Linked DNA regions of Lytechinus pictus. The protein of the gene in region 2 purifies or fractionates together with the protein of the main gene of each other region. This does not show direct contact. Links are inferred from orthologs where the notes say so. Each region holds a gene or a part of one and is shown on either strand. Other genes may lie near its edges.

What was found.
Region 1: the proteins of cyclin-F-like (region 2) and cell division control protein 6 homolog purify together in Homo sapiens (affinity purification with western blotting; 4 studies listed by BioGRID and IntAct, with this or other methods). This does not show direct contact. The link is inferred for Lytechinus pictus from reciprocal best matches to the Homo sapiens genes CCNF and CDC6.

Annotation. Positions count from the first base shown.
Region 1 is NC_087245.1:25,571,149-25,579,165, forward strand, and holds the start of cell division control protein 6 homolog, read right to left. Parts: upstream 3,194-8,017; 5' UTR 2,843-3,193; coding exon 2,840-2,842; intron 1-2,839. UniProt on the Homo sapiens protein: Involved in the initiation of DNA replication. Also participates in checkpoint controls that ensure DNA replication is completed before mitosis is initiated.
Region 2 is NC_087254.1:27,029,973-27,037,656, forward strand, and holds the start of cyclin-F-like, read right to left. Parts: upstream 3,165-7,684; 5' UTR 3,091-3,164; coding exon of another isoform or gene 3,025-3,090; 5' UTR 2,585-3,024; coding exon 2,578-2,584; intron 1,038-2,577; coding exon 826-1,037; intron 336-825; coding exon 226-335; intron 1-225. Other genes in the region: protein HID1-like, read left to right, coding at 3,025-3,090, 4,938-5,087, 6,370-6,531, 7,386-7,412. UniProt on the Homo sapiens protein: Substrate recognition component of a SCF (SKP1-CUL1-F-box protein) E3 ubiquitin-protein ligase complex which mediates the ubiquitination and subsequent proteasomal degradation of target proteins.

The DNA of each region.
Region 1 (8,017 bases), on a different chromosome or scaffold from region 2:
TGAGATAAAAAAATACTTGGAGTGGCCGATAAATATGAATCTCAACTCGATGCTAAAATATTCCGCACGCTAGACCAGTTGAAGCAGGATTTAGCATGAGGTAAGATTCACGATATTTATCGGCCGATGCAAGTATTTTTTTATCTCATGATATTGTTGGCCTCCATACGCGGCTTGTAGCTAGGCTACGATAACAAAGATGGCAAGATGGCGACTATAACAGACTGAGTAATGCTTCTCTACTTTTAATATTTTCATTCATTGCATGTTTTATAATATTATCTATAAAAAAGGGTCCAAATGATATTGTAGCCCATTAACATAAGTTTGGGCTCAAAACCCTAAAGAAAATGTGTGTTTCTGAGCAACTTTATTGTTGGCAAAATACTTGGTGCGTGTAGACAGGGCTCCACACTAACCCTCTTTTTCTACTGGTCCAACCTGTTCTTTTCGGACCAGTAGATACCCAGTTTTTCCATTTTTTACTGGTCCAAACCTAAAATTCACTGGTCCCCAAAATAAAGAAAAACATGAATAAATTCAAATAAAGACTTGTTTATTTTGCTGTCTTTTATTGCCTCCCCCCCCCAATTTTTTTTTTTACTAACAAACAGTGCACACATACACACACAGAATATAATTCATGCGAACCATTTCACAGTTTTAGAAAGACACTTTAAAGATGCCAAAGCCATTTATATTATTTACTAAAGAGGAGAAAATATCATTTATATTAGTTTGATATATATTTTACTGGTCATGTCAGACCAGTAAATCTGGCTATTTCTGAAAAGTTACTGGCCCGACAGCAATTTTTACTGGTCTGGGACCGTCGGACCAGTGCCAGTGTTGAGCGCTGGTGTAGTGCAATGGCATCCCGTCCCTGGCTCCGTGAAGATTAAGCATGTCAGTGATTAGACCAAAAGCTTCAGTCTCTGTATTTTGGTTGTTCCGCTGAACTACGTTGGCTTCACTCACCAATACATAGACTGAAGAGTTGTTGGCCCGTACGTATAGACAGTGGTATACTCATGATACTGAACTAACATTTTATAGGTCGCGATTTGAAACTGTTTTTAAGCGAAATTTACAGTTTCATGGTTTCCCTTGGACCGGAGTTATTGAAAAAAAAATCCTTTGGATGATTGAGAAATCTTTCATCTTAGACATTTTCACCTACGCTGATGATTTTTCTTGCAAGTTGCCATCTTGAATGACGTCACTATCCTTATAACTTTTTAATGTCTTGATATATCTAATGTCGTCTGCTACCTGTGATTGTAGCGGTTTGGCTCGCATATGGAGCAGATCGTATAATATCGAAAGCAATATCGATATCACATTCGTAAATTGTTGACGCCCTCTCCGTTCGTTAATTAATATTTCATATTTTGGCTGCCATTTTGGGGGTGATTCTCGAGACCAAGACAAGTAAACATCGGTAACGTACTATTTCCACACCTTTTAATCTTTTTTTTTTCATATGTCTTGATTCTTTAGATATTCAAGACATTATTTAGGTAGTTTCTAAATCCTTAGACTGTAAATTAGATTTTAGTCTAGACAGTACTAATCCTAGTCTTGAGGACTCCATGATGATTTTTTTAAAAATATTTTGACTTATACTCCTTCATCATAGAGTCTTGACACTCTTCCCATAGACGCATAAGAGACTGACCAAAACAAATAATTATTAATTATTTATAATCACGTATTAAATTTTAATATTTGTTAAATAATAAATTTTATCTAGGCCTATAAATTGTTCTTCAAAACGGAATTTTGTAACATCGCTAATCGTAGCTACGTCATAACGAAGCGGTTCAAGGGTGAGACCTACATGTATTGTATTTGCTTTGTTGACAAATGGATCGAGGGATCTACACGAGATTGGTCGGGTAAGAAACCTTCAATTTTTAACATTTTTATTAACCAATTTTTTAAACCTTCATACGCATTAGGCATAGGAAGGTGTAAAAATAAATAAAATCACCACCATTTACGTGATTTTTATCTTAAAAGATGGATTTCCTAGGGAAATCCATCTTTGTTTTGGTCAGTCTCTTATGCGTCTATGGGAAGAGTGTCAAGACTCCATGATGAAGAAGTATATGTCAAAATATATAAAAAAACATCATCATGGAGTCCTCAAGACTAACTAATCCCCCGAAGTGGGCGACGTGATAACACATGTGAGCTCACACTAACGAACTACCTTCGGTGAATGGGGATTATACATGTATGTAGTAAAATGACAGAAATTGTTGAATAAATCCCCATAAACGACGGTCATTCCTGTCTAGTCAGTGATATGACATTAATCTCCAGGAGCCTCCTGACTAAGCCTAAGTCGGATGGGAGTCTTCCTTCTGTTAAGGAGGAAGACCGAGAAAAATCATAACATGTTTATAAAACTCCTCCGACAATAGATTTTCCAGGCAGTTATTTTATGTTATGTTAGGCCTATATGGTTAGTTGGTGAAATTGCAGTTTGAAATGCAAGAATAAGGTATAGGCTCTATCGCTAATCAGATTCGCAATGCATCATGGGATCGCAAAGGGGGCCGTTGCGCACGCGCACTAGCGGACAGTCCGCAGAACTAGCTTACGGCCCCATTTGCAAACCCCGCAATCCGCATTGCGAATCTAATTAGCGATGCCGATACTTAGGATCTATTTAATCATCTAGGCCTAGCCTAGATCTATTATATTTTCATAAAATGGAAATCCACTTGTAAGCAAAAAAATTTAAAAAATGTTAAATGACTCAATAAGGTTTATCAAACAAGATTAAAAACCTGAAAAACATAATAACTGTGAGAATAGAACTTTCTCTTGCCATATCACGATATCACACACACACCGGCCGGCCTCTGGTCGACGTGAAGTCTCGACGGGCGCAGACCCACTCCATCCGAGGGAAGCATCGCTTCGTCAAGTTACATGTAGCTAACATAACAACAGTCGACAACAGTTGTTAGACAGGGCAAACTTGGGTACCGTACTCATTTGAGATTTTCACATTTCAGCTAATTTACTTGATAAAAGTGGCATGCAATAATACTACTACCAGTACTCACTTTTGAAAGAAAAAAAAAGAGTCCTCAGTTTGCGTAAAACACAATTCCAGAATAATTTTGCTTGACAGCAGCAACAACAAGCTTTCCACCCTCGGCTTCCGCTAAGTACGTGTAACTTGCATTGGCTTCCAATTCCCGCGAAATCGAGTTCCGCGCGAAATAGTCAGCTGATTGATCTAGCGTCCCCAAACGAGTCATCTGATTGGTCGGTCCAACAACCCATAGCATGCACCTCTTGTATTGCATATTGCAGTACCTTTAAGGACGTTCCACAGTTATGTTTGTGTGCATTATGATCTGCGCATACTTTACACTCTGCGCGCTGACGTCACAATGGATGAACAGGTGATTAATTAGCTCTGGGTATGAGCTGATTTTTCTCATCATCTGCACTCTAACTGCAGATCCGATGCATTATCTTATGAAGCTAAAAAATTGAATTATTCCATGGACCATTTTAAAAATCATCTCTACAATTTCAAAATACTTTACTCTGCAGTGCTGCCAAGAATCACGAATTAGTCCCCGAGTTTGAATAAATGGTAGAGTGGTTTTGATTTTTTCTTCACATAGATACAAAGCATTCGGCACATTTTTTGTGTTTAATAAAGCACATTTCCAAAAAAAAAATGCTGATAGTTTAAAAACAAGCACATGAACCCCCATTTTTTAATGTTTATACCTCTTAGGTATACCTTCCTCTACAACTTTGCAAATATTGGTGAAAATGACATGGATTTTGAATAAAGTGCAGCATTTATTGTACTTTTGTAGTATGTTATTGAAATTTCACATTTCTTTAGATTGGGTTTTTGTTATCTTTTACGCCATTTTAAGAACTGACAGTGCTGTTAGACTTAAAACTGCAAACAAATAGCACTATAAATAGATTCTCCATTCTAACGATACAATTATTAACTCTCTTGCGAAATTTGATGACTTTTTCATGTATTTTGACTGAGTAATACAGGTTTAAACTCATTGTAGTAATCTTGCGAGGTCTAAAAATGCCAAATTCTTTTGAATGCGCAATTCTTAACAACATCAATTTGGGTGAACTTTGAAGCTCTATAGCAAAAAATCAAGCACATGGACCTATGTTAATTTTTGCATATTTCGAATATTAAGGTTCTAAAGTATCTATGTGCAAAGTTTGATGAAAATGACATGGATTTCACTTTAACTGTGGAACGTCCTTAAACAAACTGAGTGTGCGTAGTAGACGGGGTAATAGATACATGATATTTTAAAATGTCTGCATATCAGGGTATATCATAAAACAGAGACCTTCTGTGCATTACAAAAATATTATTTCAAATATGCGATATGGCAAGTTATATGGGCACTGTTTGAGGCTAACGTTACTTCTCAGAATAATTGATATATTTTAGGGAAAACTATATTACAGTCTCATTTTTTTTTTTTTTTTTTTTTTTTTGGGGGGGGGGGTATTTTTTCAATTACAAGACCACACATCTCTACCATCAATCAGTAGACACAGTTACTGTTACCAATCAGAACTTCCTCTTTGAATATTGCTACTTGGCCTTCATAGTGTGCCTGTGCGTATAAAATCAGTAGATATATGTCAGGCCCCCTCCCCCTACATGTTATGTATGTACATGTATATTCATATATTGTCCTTATCAGGAAATTTAATACCAAAATGCTCGTTCATTGAACGAAATGACACTGATTTTTTTCTCTTATTATAACAATGTTATTCTTATTATTTTCTTTGTTGTTCAAGGGCAAACTTACAGTCTCATTTTGTGGTATTTCTTGGTAAAATATAGTTTCATAGCTCAAGTCTTATCTCACAGGGGCGGCGATTCGCCTGCATGGGGGCTCAGTGCCCCCACTCTTCGAAGCACTGAAAAGGTGCCGTTTTTTTACGCAAGAAAAATGCCCCCCCCCCCCATGAACGTGTAGTAATGAAATAAAATGAAAATCCATAACGTAACTGTGCCCCTTTCAGAAGAGGAGCCGTTTTATGCGTTTCCAAGTGCCATATCTCGTATCGGTGCCCCCTTTTACCCAAGTAGAGTGCCCCTCACGAACGTGCTCTGTATGCCCCTTTCACCTAAGGATCCGTTTTATGTCTGAGCAAGCAGTGTGTATTTGAGTTTTGTCAGACGTGTATCAATCAGATATGATTATTTACGTCTGGGACCGACCTTTAACGTCACCATCCGAAAGACGTGACCAGGGCTCGAACCTCGAACCTCTGCATCAATTTGTAACTTCCCCCACATAGCTTGGATACAGGCGCACGCCACAACGCCCAGTTGTGCTCTCAGTGCCTTCTTTTAAGTGCCCTTTCTCGAATCAGTGCCCCTTTTTAAAGAAAAGTGCCCCTCATGAACATGTGCCCCTTTCGCCTCAGTGGCGTAGCTACGGGGGGGGGGGGCCTGGGGGGGGGGCACGTGCCCCCCCCCCCTGAGATTTGGTGTGCCCCCCCAGAAAAAATTGGCAGAGCAAAAAAAAAAAAGGAAAGAAAAAAGGGAGAAGAAACGAAAAAAAGAAAAAGGAAAAGAAGAAGAAAGACAGAAGAAAAAAAGAAGAAGAAAATAAGAGGAGGAAGACGAGTGAATGAAATAATGTAATTAAAAAAACAAATCTTTTATGTTACTAAATAAAAATTTTGCTGGCGCTTCGCGCCAAAATTGCCTGTTCAATGAGATTCATATCTTGCTCAATAGGCTGATATGGAGCAAGTTTTGAAGTCAATATGCAAAACATATTTTAGTTCGATATCGAGCTTTCATAATTTTTTTTTCATTTACAAATTTAAGTGCTCTGTAAAATGTCCGTTTTATGGTCTACATATATCAGCATTTTAAGCTCACGCTGCGTGGTCACATTGTTTGATTTGCAAAGTTCATATTGTCTACGTGTATTCCATAACGTTCCATTAAACAAATGTATTCAGAATGCCCAGATTCTAGGTCTACATCTACAACACGCGCGATAGCCTGCATGTTCTTTATTTAAAATGTACATGTACTTGAATTATCCAGTTTCACATCAGAATATCAATAATTGTCTTTGTTTTAAGATAATGGCCGTGCGTAGCGGGGGGGGGGGTGGGGGTTAGGGGCAGTTGCCCCCCTTCCGAAATTTAGAAAACTCAATTTTTTTACTGCAGATTTTCACAAAACCAAAAGTATGCACAAACTCCATCAATTTCACTTAACAAAATGCAAAAGCGCCTTATTAAGCTCCCTCGCTTTCGATTAAAAAAAATTGTGCACACAGCCATGTTCAAGATAGTGCCCTTTTGAAAGAAAAGATGCCTTTGTTCTATGTGCCCCCCTCCCCAATTTCAACTTCGCTCCGCCGCCCCTGTTATCTTACATTACTGCTATTATGTTTTACCGTAATATCTTAAATTTATATTGTAATTGTTAATGTAATTTCTTGATTATTTTTGTTGATTTCGTTATTGTTTTAATGCAACATCTATAAATTCAGCTTTTCAAGCTGCGATTACACGTCATGTTCAACATGTTCGTTCAACAAATCTTAAATCTTGAATTAGTTTTATTTTTTTCAACAGGTATTATGTGATCTGTAATTATTGGTGAAAATCAATAAAATACAAATAAAAAAGAAAGAAAAATCCGAATTGATTATTGAAATGTGATTGTTTAAAAACTGACATTCCTAAAGGCTGGATGATATTTGTAACAGAATGGGGAGCAATGATTCTGCCCAAAATGTCCTTTCCTAATTCGGTATTATTACGCTTAGTTATAGACATGATTATTAGATTCTCTTTTTGTCTATAAGAACAAAGGGCCCTGGGAAAGATTTTTAAATAGAGGGTGTTGAAATTTGTTCAGGGGATTGTCGTTAGAAAAATAATTGTATAGCACAAAAAAAAAGAGAAAATGAATAGAAAAAACTCTCCGTGTCATTCGGGAGCAATATAAAATTTTTTCATTTTTTTGTGTTTTTTTGTTGCTTGTAAACCTCATTTTCCAGGAGAGGATGCGGCCTGGTAAATAACATACACGACACACCGAACCCCCGCTTCCCAGGGCCTTGTCGGAACACTAAGCAACACTGAGACTTAATTAGATTGTTTACTTTGCTCACACTGTTTTTCAGAAAGTGTAAAATTCATTAAAGGAGAATGAAACCCTTGAAACCAACTGAATCCATATCAAAGAGAAAAATCAAAGAAACATATTGTTGAAAGTTTGAGGAAGATTGAATGAATAATAAGAAAGTTATGAGCATTCGAATATTGAGATCACTAGTGCCATGTAGATCCTCCCAACGGCAATGCGACCAAGATCTGTGATATCACACACGTACAACTCCCTCATTACTTTAGTACTTATTTCACTTATATTCTCACTTTTATAGAGTCTACCACAAGGTGAGGTGTTCCCTTTATGAGATGACAAGTACAGAGGTTTCACAACATTATATCATTGATGAATCGTTTGTCATATGATTAGAATGAGCAAAAAGAGATGTTTTGGGGTATATTTTCAGTGTCCAAATGGGAGAGTTGTACGTGTGTGACATCACAGATCTTGGTCGCATTGCCAATGGGAGGATCTCCATAGCATTAGTGATCTCGACATTCAAATGCTCATAACTCTTTTATTGCTAGTCCTATTTTACTCAAAGTTTTGTTGATCTAAATTCATTAAAGGAGAATGAAACCCTTGAAACCAACTGAATCCATATCAAAGAGAAAAATCAAAGAAACATATTGTTGAAAGTTTGAGGAAGATTGAATGAATAATAAGAAAGTTATGAGCATTCGAATATTGAGATCACTAGTGCCATGTAGATCCTCCCATCGGCAATGCGACCAAGATCTGTGATATCACACACGTACAACTCCCTCATTACTTTAGTACTTATTTCACTTATATTCTCACTTTTATAGAGTCTACCACAAGGTGAGGTGTTCCCTT
Region 2 (7,684 bases):
TTTAATAAAAATTGATTTTTGTAATGATTAAATCGATTAGTCACTAGAATCAGTAGTCATTTGAATGAAACTCACAATGCTTTGATGATTATGCAATCAATTATAAAAATCAACTACATATATATGATAATTTCTCAAGCTTTGCATTCCTTGGCCCATAACATTGTGAGATCAGTATACTGTGATACACTGTACACAGGCCTGACTGTAAGTCAAAATTCCTACCTGTTGAAGCATTCCATTTCAGTTGAGTTGGTTGGCCACCTTCCGACTACACTTGCATTGGCCCATATCCTTGGGGTAGAGTCTAGCAGCCATTTGAATTGTTTGTTTATCTGTAATTGTCAACAATAAACGTTTTAAAATTAATTGTGTCAGTTACCATATTTTGCACTTATTTTTAGAGCAAGAATGAAAAAAAAAACTGATTGGCAGATTATCATACAAAATACTTTAAAACACTAAAATGATTCACTGTTAAGAATCTGTGGTCTGATTGGTGAGACTGCATTATTCTAATTAATAATGGGTCCAACAGATCATAAGTATTAAATTATACAAAATCATAATGTTTAAATAGCGTATTTGGATTGCCTGCTCAAGCCAAAAGTCACAAGTAACTTTTCCAGTATTTTTATGACACTCGAACCTGATCACATAGAAATACATTTGTATTTGTATTTAAAAAAAGGTACCAGTATTTTTCACCCTCTCCCATGTCCCAAGTACATGACAAGAAAACAGAAGAGAAAAGAAGGCAGTTTTCTTTCAAAGAGATTGGAAAATAAACAATCTGAAAATCAGATAATCCTAATCGATACTTACTCTATACATATTCTGGAGATCACACATTGGTAAGAATTTCAGTAGATAAATGAGGAGTTCATCTGGGAGATCGATGAGCATGGTTTTTGGCAGCTTACTGTTGCTCCTGAGAACCCGTACATGGAGACTGGTTGACCTTGATGATGATGGTGACTGTTTTGCCATTTCAGATGATGACCTTGCAGGCAAGGTACATGTACGGCTACAAGTATCTACAAATTACATTAAAAAAGAAGAAGATTATTCATGTGCTATAAAACAGCTACAATGCATGGATTTGATTATGAAATCAATAAATTCTAGTACAGATTACTCATCACGATAAGTCAATACATCATTATACATGTACTTATAAAGAGTAATGCCGTTGTATGGAAAAGGGGTCTCTCAACAAGGAAATCTTTGCCCAAGAAATAAGTTCTTTATTCAACTCAAGCTCTCACTGAATATCCACTACCTACAGTACATCCAAGTCCCAGACCTAGTCCTGCCTGCTGACCAAAGCAGTTGTTATGTCCAGGCGGGTGAAAATCCTGACAATGTCAGTGACAAGACAGTAATTTCAAGAATTTGACATGGAATGTTGGTCACTGATTCATTGGAAAATGTGAAGACTCATGGAGGTACATGTAATCGCCCCTAATATATTTCACTAGAATAATTTGAAATTAAAAAAAAGATTACCGGTACTTGACTTATCTTCTACTCCATAAACATGACCCATCGCTTGGCGACAGCACGCTAATGCGCGGTTTGCCTGCTGTCGCCAAGCGAAAGACAATGAAATCAAGATGGCGACGTAAACACGGTGGCAACTTTTCCCCGTCTTTTCATAACATTTTTCTCGTTTTTAGAATGAATTCTTGTTTAAAAATGAAATCAATATCGTAGAAATATTGGAAATGAAATTGAATCCCATATACATGATTTAATTAGGGCTAGATCTTTTAAAAGTAGAAATCTCGGGGGCGAAAGTTTGAGGTTTTTTGGCGGTACGTGCAGATGAATGCAATCAAATCCCTGGCTCTGTGTAGAGTAAACATGTACGTTAGTAAATGATTTTTACTCTCTAGACTAGGAGCCTCCTGGCTACCTGGTCCTGGGGATAAAAAACCTCAACTTCACTTCACACAGCTACAGTCCTTCAAATAAATACCTCGAAACGAGTCGAAAGGTGTCATTCAGTGACATTCACCAGAGTAAATTGCACATGCACTGAAGCGACATCACACCTAGACAATACTACTAGATGATACCTGCTATTGCTAATGAAGCGATGTCTGGATTACCCCTTTCTGAGATTCTGAGATCAACACCATCAGATTCTGAATTCAAATTTGTCTTTGTCATTAAGTCAGATCTTGTCTTAAGAATAAGATAAATCGCCTTTGCTTTGCCCTTGGGCTTGGCTAGCTTTGGGTCCCCCATCATAAATCGTTTCTTTACTTAGTAGGGAGGGGTGTGCATGTTGCCACGTCAGGCAACACAAACAACGAAACCAAAAAAAAAATGAGCCTGGACGGCTGTCAGCGGATATGGATGGACGACCGCAACACTAGCCTACGAATTAACGGTCAACGGCTCAACGCTCAGCCAGAAGCTTCGGCGTGCCCTCCCACCAACGACTGCATCAAGAGGCTTTCAATTTAAAATAAGAGTTTTGACTATAAAAGTTAGAATATTTCAACAAATCTTGAAATAAAACATTCAACTTCAAATCATATATAAAAAAAGAATGTGTGTTTATCTTACCCCTCATCTTTTAGAAGACAAAGTACTGCACTCAGGAAAAGAAAAGGACTATAAGTATAATTTGTACGAATATTTACACATATCGCATCAGGCACAGTTGAGCGGATGCATCATTCATTCATTCAAGTTTAGCGCGTTGGCTTGCATTGAAAATACACATGCCAGCCGTTTGTGTTTACGTCCGTTATGAGCGTCGTAGCTCATGATTGGCTGAAAGATTTTGCGCTCGGTTAGAAGTATCCGCCCACTAATGAGGTCAACGGAAACGAATGACCTTTCACATTTACGACTACGTGACGTCATCGTATATGTTTTCGTGCTAAGCTAGCTAGCTACGTTGATTTCTGCTACGTCGAAATCGAGAAAGAATCGAAATAATACTTGTACAAGTAAATGTTATTCCATTAATTGATGCAATCGTGAGAAGCAAGATTTGTGACAATCGAGATGGGAGGGACAGACTCCAAGCTGAATTTTAGGAAAGCAGTCGTACAGTTGACAACAAAAACACAGGTAAACGAGAATCGGCCAATACAAAAATTACAACAACACTCGAGCTCGACATGCATGCACTTCACTGCACATGTTAATCATGGACAACTCACGAGCTCACAGCTGGTAGAGAGCTACTACTAGTACTAGTAATAATACCCAGTTGTTGTGTGTCCGGACGATCAATTTTAGAAAGTCTTTTGGAAAAATTTACAAGCGAAGTTTCATCAATTTTTAGTAGAAAATGTTAGGAAATATTAGAGAGAACAAAATCGAAGATGATTATAATAATTAATAATAATATAACTTATTTTTAACTATTGAATTCATATTTTTAGTGTAATCCAAAGACAAAAAAAGAAGGCTTCAAAAATATAATAAAGTGTCCGGACACCCGACCCCCCATCCTACTTGTACTATGAAAAAAGTGCTACGCCGCGCCACGTCGAAGCGTATTAAATATTGCACATCTGACGGAGGTCTAACTTAGTAACTTAGAATTAAATTGTTAAAGATATTTAAGGTTGGATGTCATTCATTAAAACATTATGAAGCGAAACTCAGCTCAGAATGAAGGGGGAGGGGGATGTCTGTGAGTGTCACTGTGCACTAAATAACATTTAACTTTTTTTAAATAAATGTAATTTTAAACATGAATTTCTTTTCATTCCAGAATTTAATTCAAAATGTGGTTGATTAATGACTTAGTTAGGCCTAAGGTTAGATCTAATGTTAGATCTAAGTTAACGTTGCATGTCATTAAATGTTCCTTGGCCTTAAGCAAGGTTAAGTTAATTTACTAGATCACGTTGACTGCCAAAAATTGTAATCCTGGGGTGGTATTTATGTAACTTTTCTTGTAATGGGGTGGTATTCATGTAAATTTTCTTGTAATGTAACTCAGCACATTAACAGTTCGCAAAAATTATCTTTAATCTGTATTCTGAAAATTATCTTAAAAACTCATCTCTTTAAGGACGTGTCCCCTATTTCATCTCCGACACGCGCAATATCTCATCATCAAGTCAACCAATAAATCATGTTGTTTTATGCTTGGGTTCAACCAATAGAAGCGTCTCTTCTGTAAAAACTCTTAAGTTTAGGCTAGCCCATTATTGACATGATGAGGGCTGAGGCGTAATTTCCCTTATGCCTCTGACGCTTGTGCTTGTGCGCTACTGTGCTAAGATACATTTACTTACTTATTTGGATTTACTTGGAAGTTGGATGTAGAGACGTAAACTTGTAGCTTATTTGCCCCTCGTCACTTTAGATAGTCTGGTTACATGTGGTTGTTCTCCCAGGCATATTTACTTTGAAAAGATTCATCATCTCGAATGAGATCTTTAAATTGCTGCAAAGTCTGCCAATCGGTCTCTGTAATATCTTCAGAATGTTTCATTTTGGAAAACAAGATGTTCTTGTGTGATGCAGCAAAAAAAAAATTGTTGACTGAGAAATATGGCATGCAGCATTGAGTTACAAAAGCCCCAGGCTACCTCTCGAAATTTTATTGTATTTTCCAAGGAAGTTAACAGAAAGCAAAGATAAAAGAATTTTCAGAATACCTTTTATCTCGATATCTTATCTTGTGCACAGAGATATATATGCGCCGTTCTTAGTTTTATGCATCATTATACTAGCTCTGACATCATGTACCCTAATAAAGGAAATGTGTTGTCTGAGGCTTATATGGAATATCATGATCGTGCAGCCCTTCAAAGAATCCATTCTCATTTTTTTTAATGTGAAAATCGTAGCATGCTTATTAATAATGTAAATTACAATTTTTTTGTAAAAAAAATTAAATCATGATTATGAATTTTTCTCTAGTCCTCCATGTTTGCTTTGTTCCTATTATATGACAGCCTGTCGAGGCAGGAGATGATGCCTTCTGGGACCAGTTTTGGGCCGACAGCGTTACCAGCGTGACCGATGTCTTTGCACTCATCCCAGCTGCTGAGATAAGAGCACTCAGAGAGGAATCACCATCTAATCTGGCCACTCTCTGCTACAAGGTATATCTCTGAGCTTAGTCTCTGAACAAATAGGGGAGAGTGTTGATTAAGGCCTCGGGGTAAATAAGGCCCCCACTTAGTTTTTAGCTCACTGCTTAAATTTACCAGTGTCGAAGGGATCGGTGTTTGTGTGGTATTTGAGACAGTTCCTTTAATAGCACATATCACAAGCATAAACAATATATCATGGCCCAATGCACATGGCCAGGAGGAGTACAAACCTATCAGAAAGTCAAAAATCAGCATTTAGAAAGTAGCATCATGACTTTATATAGGCGAGTACTGTATCCACCGAGTAGTGTGATTAATCTCTATATTAGTTTACTTTTGTAAGGAATTATTGTGCAAATGAGTACTGTTTTAATATTTACCGCTTTCCCTCTTTTTTTTTTACTGGAAGCCTATGAACTTAACATACCCAATGGGGCAAATGAGGCCCCCGGATTAAACCATAATTAACACTGTATGGTTACATCTGATAAAACAGTAAACCGCAGTGTAGACATTTCCACACTTGCTTTAATATGTACACCAAAAGTTTTCATTTTCAATAGAATGTCGAAACATATAACTTTGACAGTTGAAAACACAATCCGACAATCATTTGATTGATAATATTGGATAAGATTAATAAAGAAATTCTAAATAGGGGCCTTGTGATTGTATTAAACCAACGGAACTATTTTCACTTTGAATATAGCGACACAAAACAAAGAACAATAAATGTATCAAGTTCTAGACAAGCGATGAGATGACCAGAGGTTCCTGTATAAAATACCCTGAAGAACAACACTGAATTAGTGATTATATTGTTAGTAACTACATGTATGTCTGGGTAAAATGGAAATTAATATGAGGTTCTCTACTCACCAGTTCATTTGTAATGCTACCCATCAGATAATACCAGTTATTTTGCCAATGTGAAGCAAATTACTTGTAATATCTCTGAAAGAAAATATCTTTGGAGGAACTTGTTAAAATTACAAGACCTTTCTTAGGAATTCTCCAAGGTGTAGAGTTCTTTTGCAGTGTAAAAGCAAATGATAAGTTCTTCAAATGTGAGACAAGATAGGCCTACAGGCTTAGTTATATGTACTTTGTATAGGAATGCAATAGACTTGCTTGCTCATAACGAATTGGAACATTATCTGAAAGTTCAGTTGGGTGTGAACAAGTTTATTAGGTATTCTTAGGCCTGTATAAAAGTGCATAAATACAGGACTGATCAAGTTGGTTTGGAAGCACTGAATCATTTTTCATTGATTTTCCATTTCTATTGTAGGCTGTCGAGAAGCTAGTATCAGCTGCAGAGTCTGGATGCTCCGCCCCTAGAGACCAGCAGGTGGTACTCAATGCAGCCCGCCTCCTCACCCGCATCCTGCCGTATATCTTTGAGGATCCTGATTGGAGGGGATTCTTCTGGTCTACCTTGCCTGGCCAATCAGTGAGTTTTTTTTCATATCGAGCTGTGCCTAATCAACTTTCTGGTACAGGAAGCTGACCAGCAATTAGGTTCAAGATATTTGATTGATTCTTATTATTCCAAATGGGCAATTTACAGAGTGTCAGATGTATTGCTAAGAAACGAATGCTGTGGGATTTCTAGAAGGCCTTTGTAAAAAAAATATGTCAACTAAAGAGGTGCATGGCATGTTTCCTTTATTATTCTTCCCTCTAAAGGAAAAAAAACTGCTTTCTTTATTACATGTCAATGATGTCAAATGAAAATTCTGTCTCCTTGCAAATCTCATGAAGCAATGGCATGGTACTATAAAAAACATGCTGCATGTACTATTGCAAAAAAAAACGAAATCCAATTATAAGAAAATATGAAATCAGTGACAATTCAGATTAAATCGCTTGAAACTGCAACTTCCAAGCATGCCAATTGATACATTTTTTAATTTCATATGAAGAAAACATGAATGTTTTGCTTTCCTTTTTGTAAAACGGCAACCTTTAGTATTCTAATGACAATCATGCTTAAGTCAGAAATGTACAGTGTACATCTTATTTCATTTTGATATTCTATATCTTTTCTTTTGTGTGACTATATTGGTTTCATTTTGGATGGACTTCCTAATATTGAAATGTAAATATTATCCCATCTTCTTCCTTCAAAATGTGAAAGTATACTTTGCTTCATCTTACATACATGTATCTTATTAAATTTGACTCCACTCTGGTATGTAAGCATGGCATTTTTTCAATATGCTAAGAATGGTTTCATTGACTTTAATCTTAATACTATCTTCTTTTGTTTTCTTCATGGTACTTTTTTTTCTTTCTGGTGATTAGGCAAACATGGATGGGGTGGATGACTTTGTAAGTTTGCTGTGTGCTCTTTCCCTTCCTCTACTAACTTGTAGGTTTGCTTCAGACAATTTCATGTAGGCCCAAATTCACAAAGGTGGTTTTTGAAACCATCTGTTGAACCCATGACTTATGCAGATTTTCTGTATGAATTACAATTATTTACCGCGTATGTTAAAATTTGTCCTTTGCTGATGCATGCTTTTGTCACAGTGCACCAAAACGCCGCCTGTTCTCATGATTAATTACGCTATTTTATTCATGAGTCCACTGTTTGAAGAGTG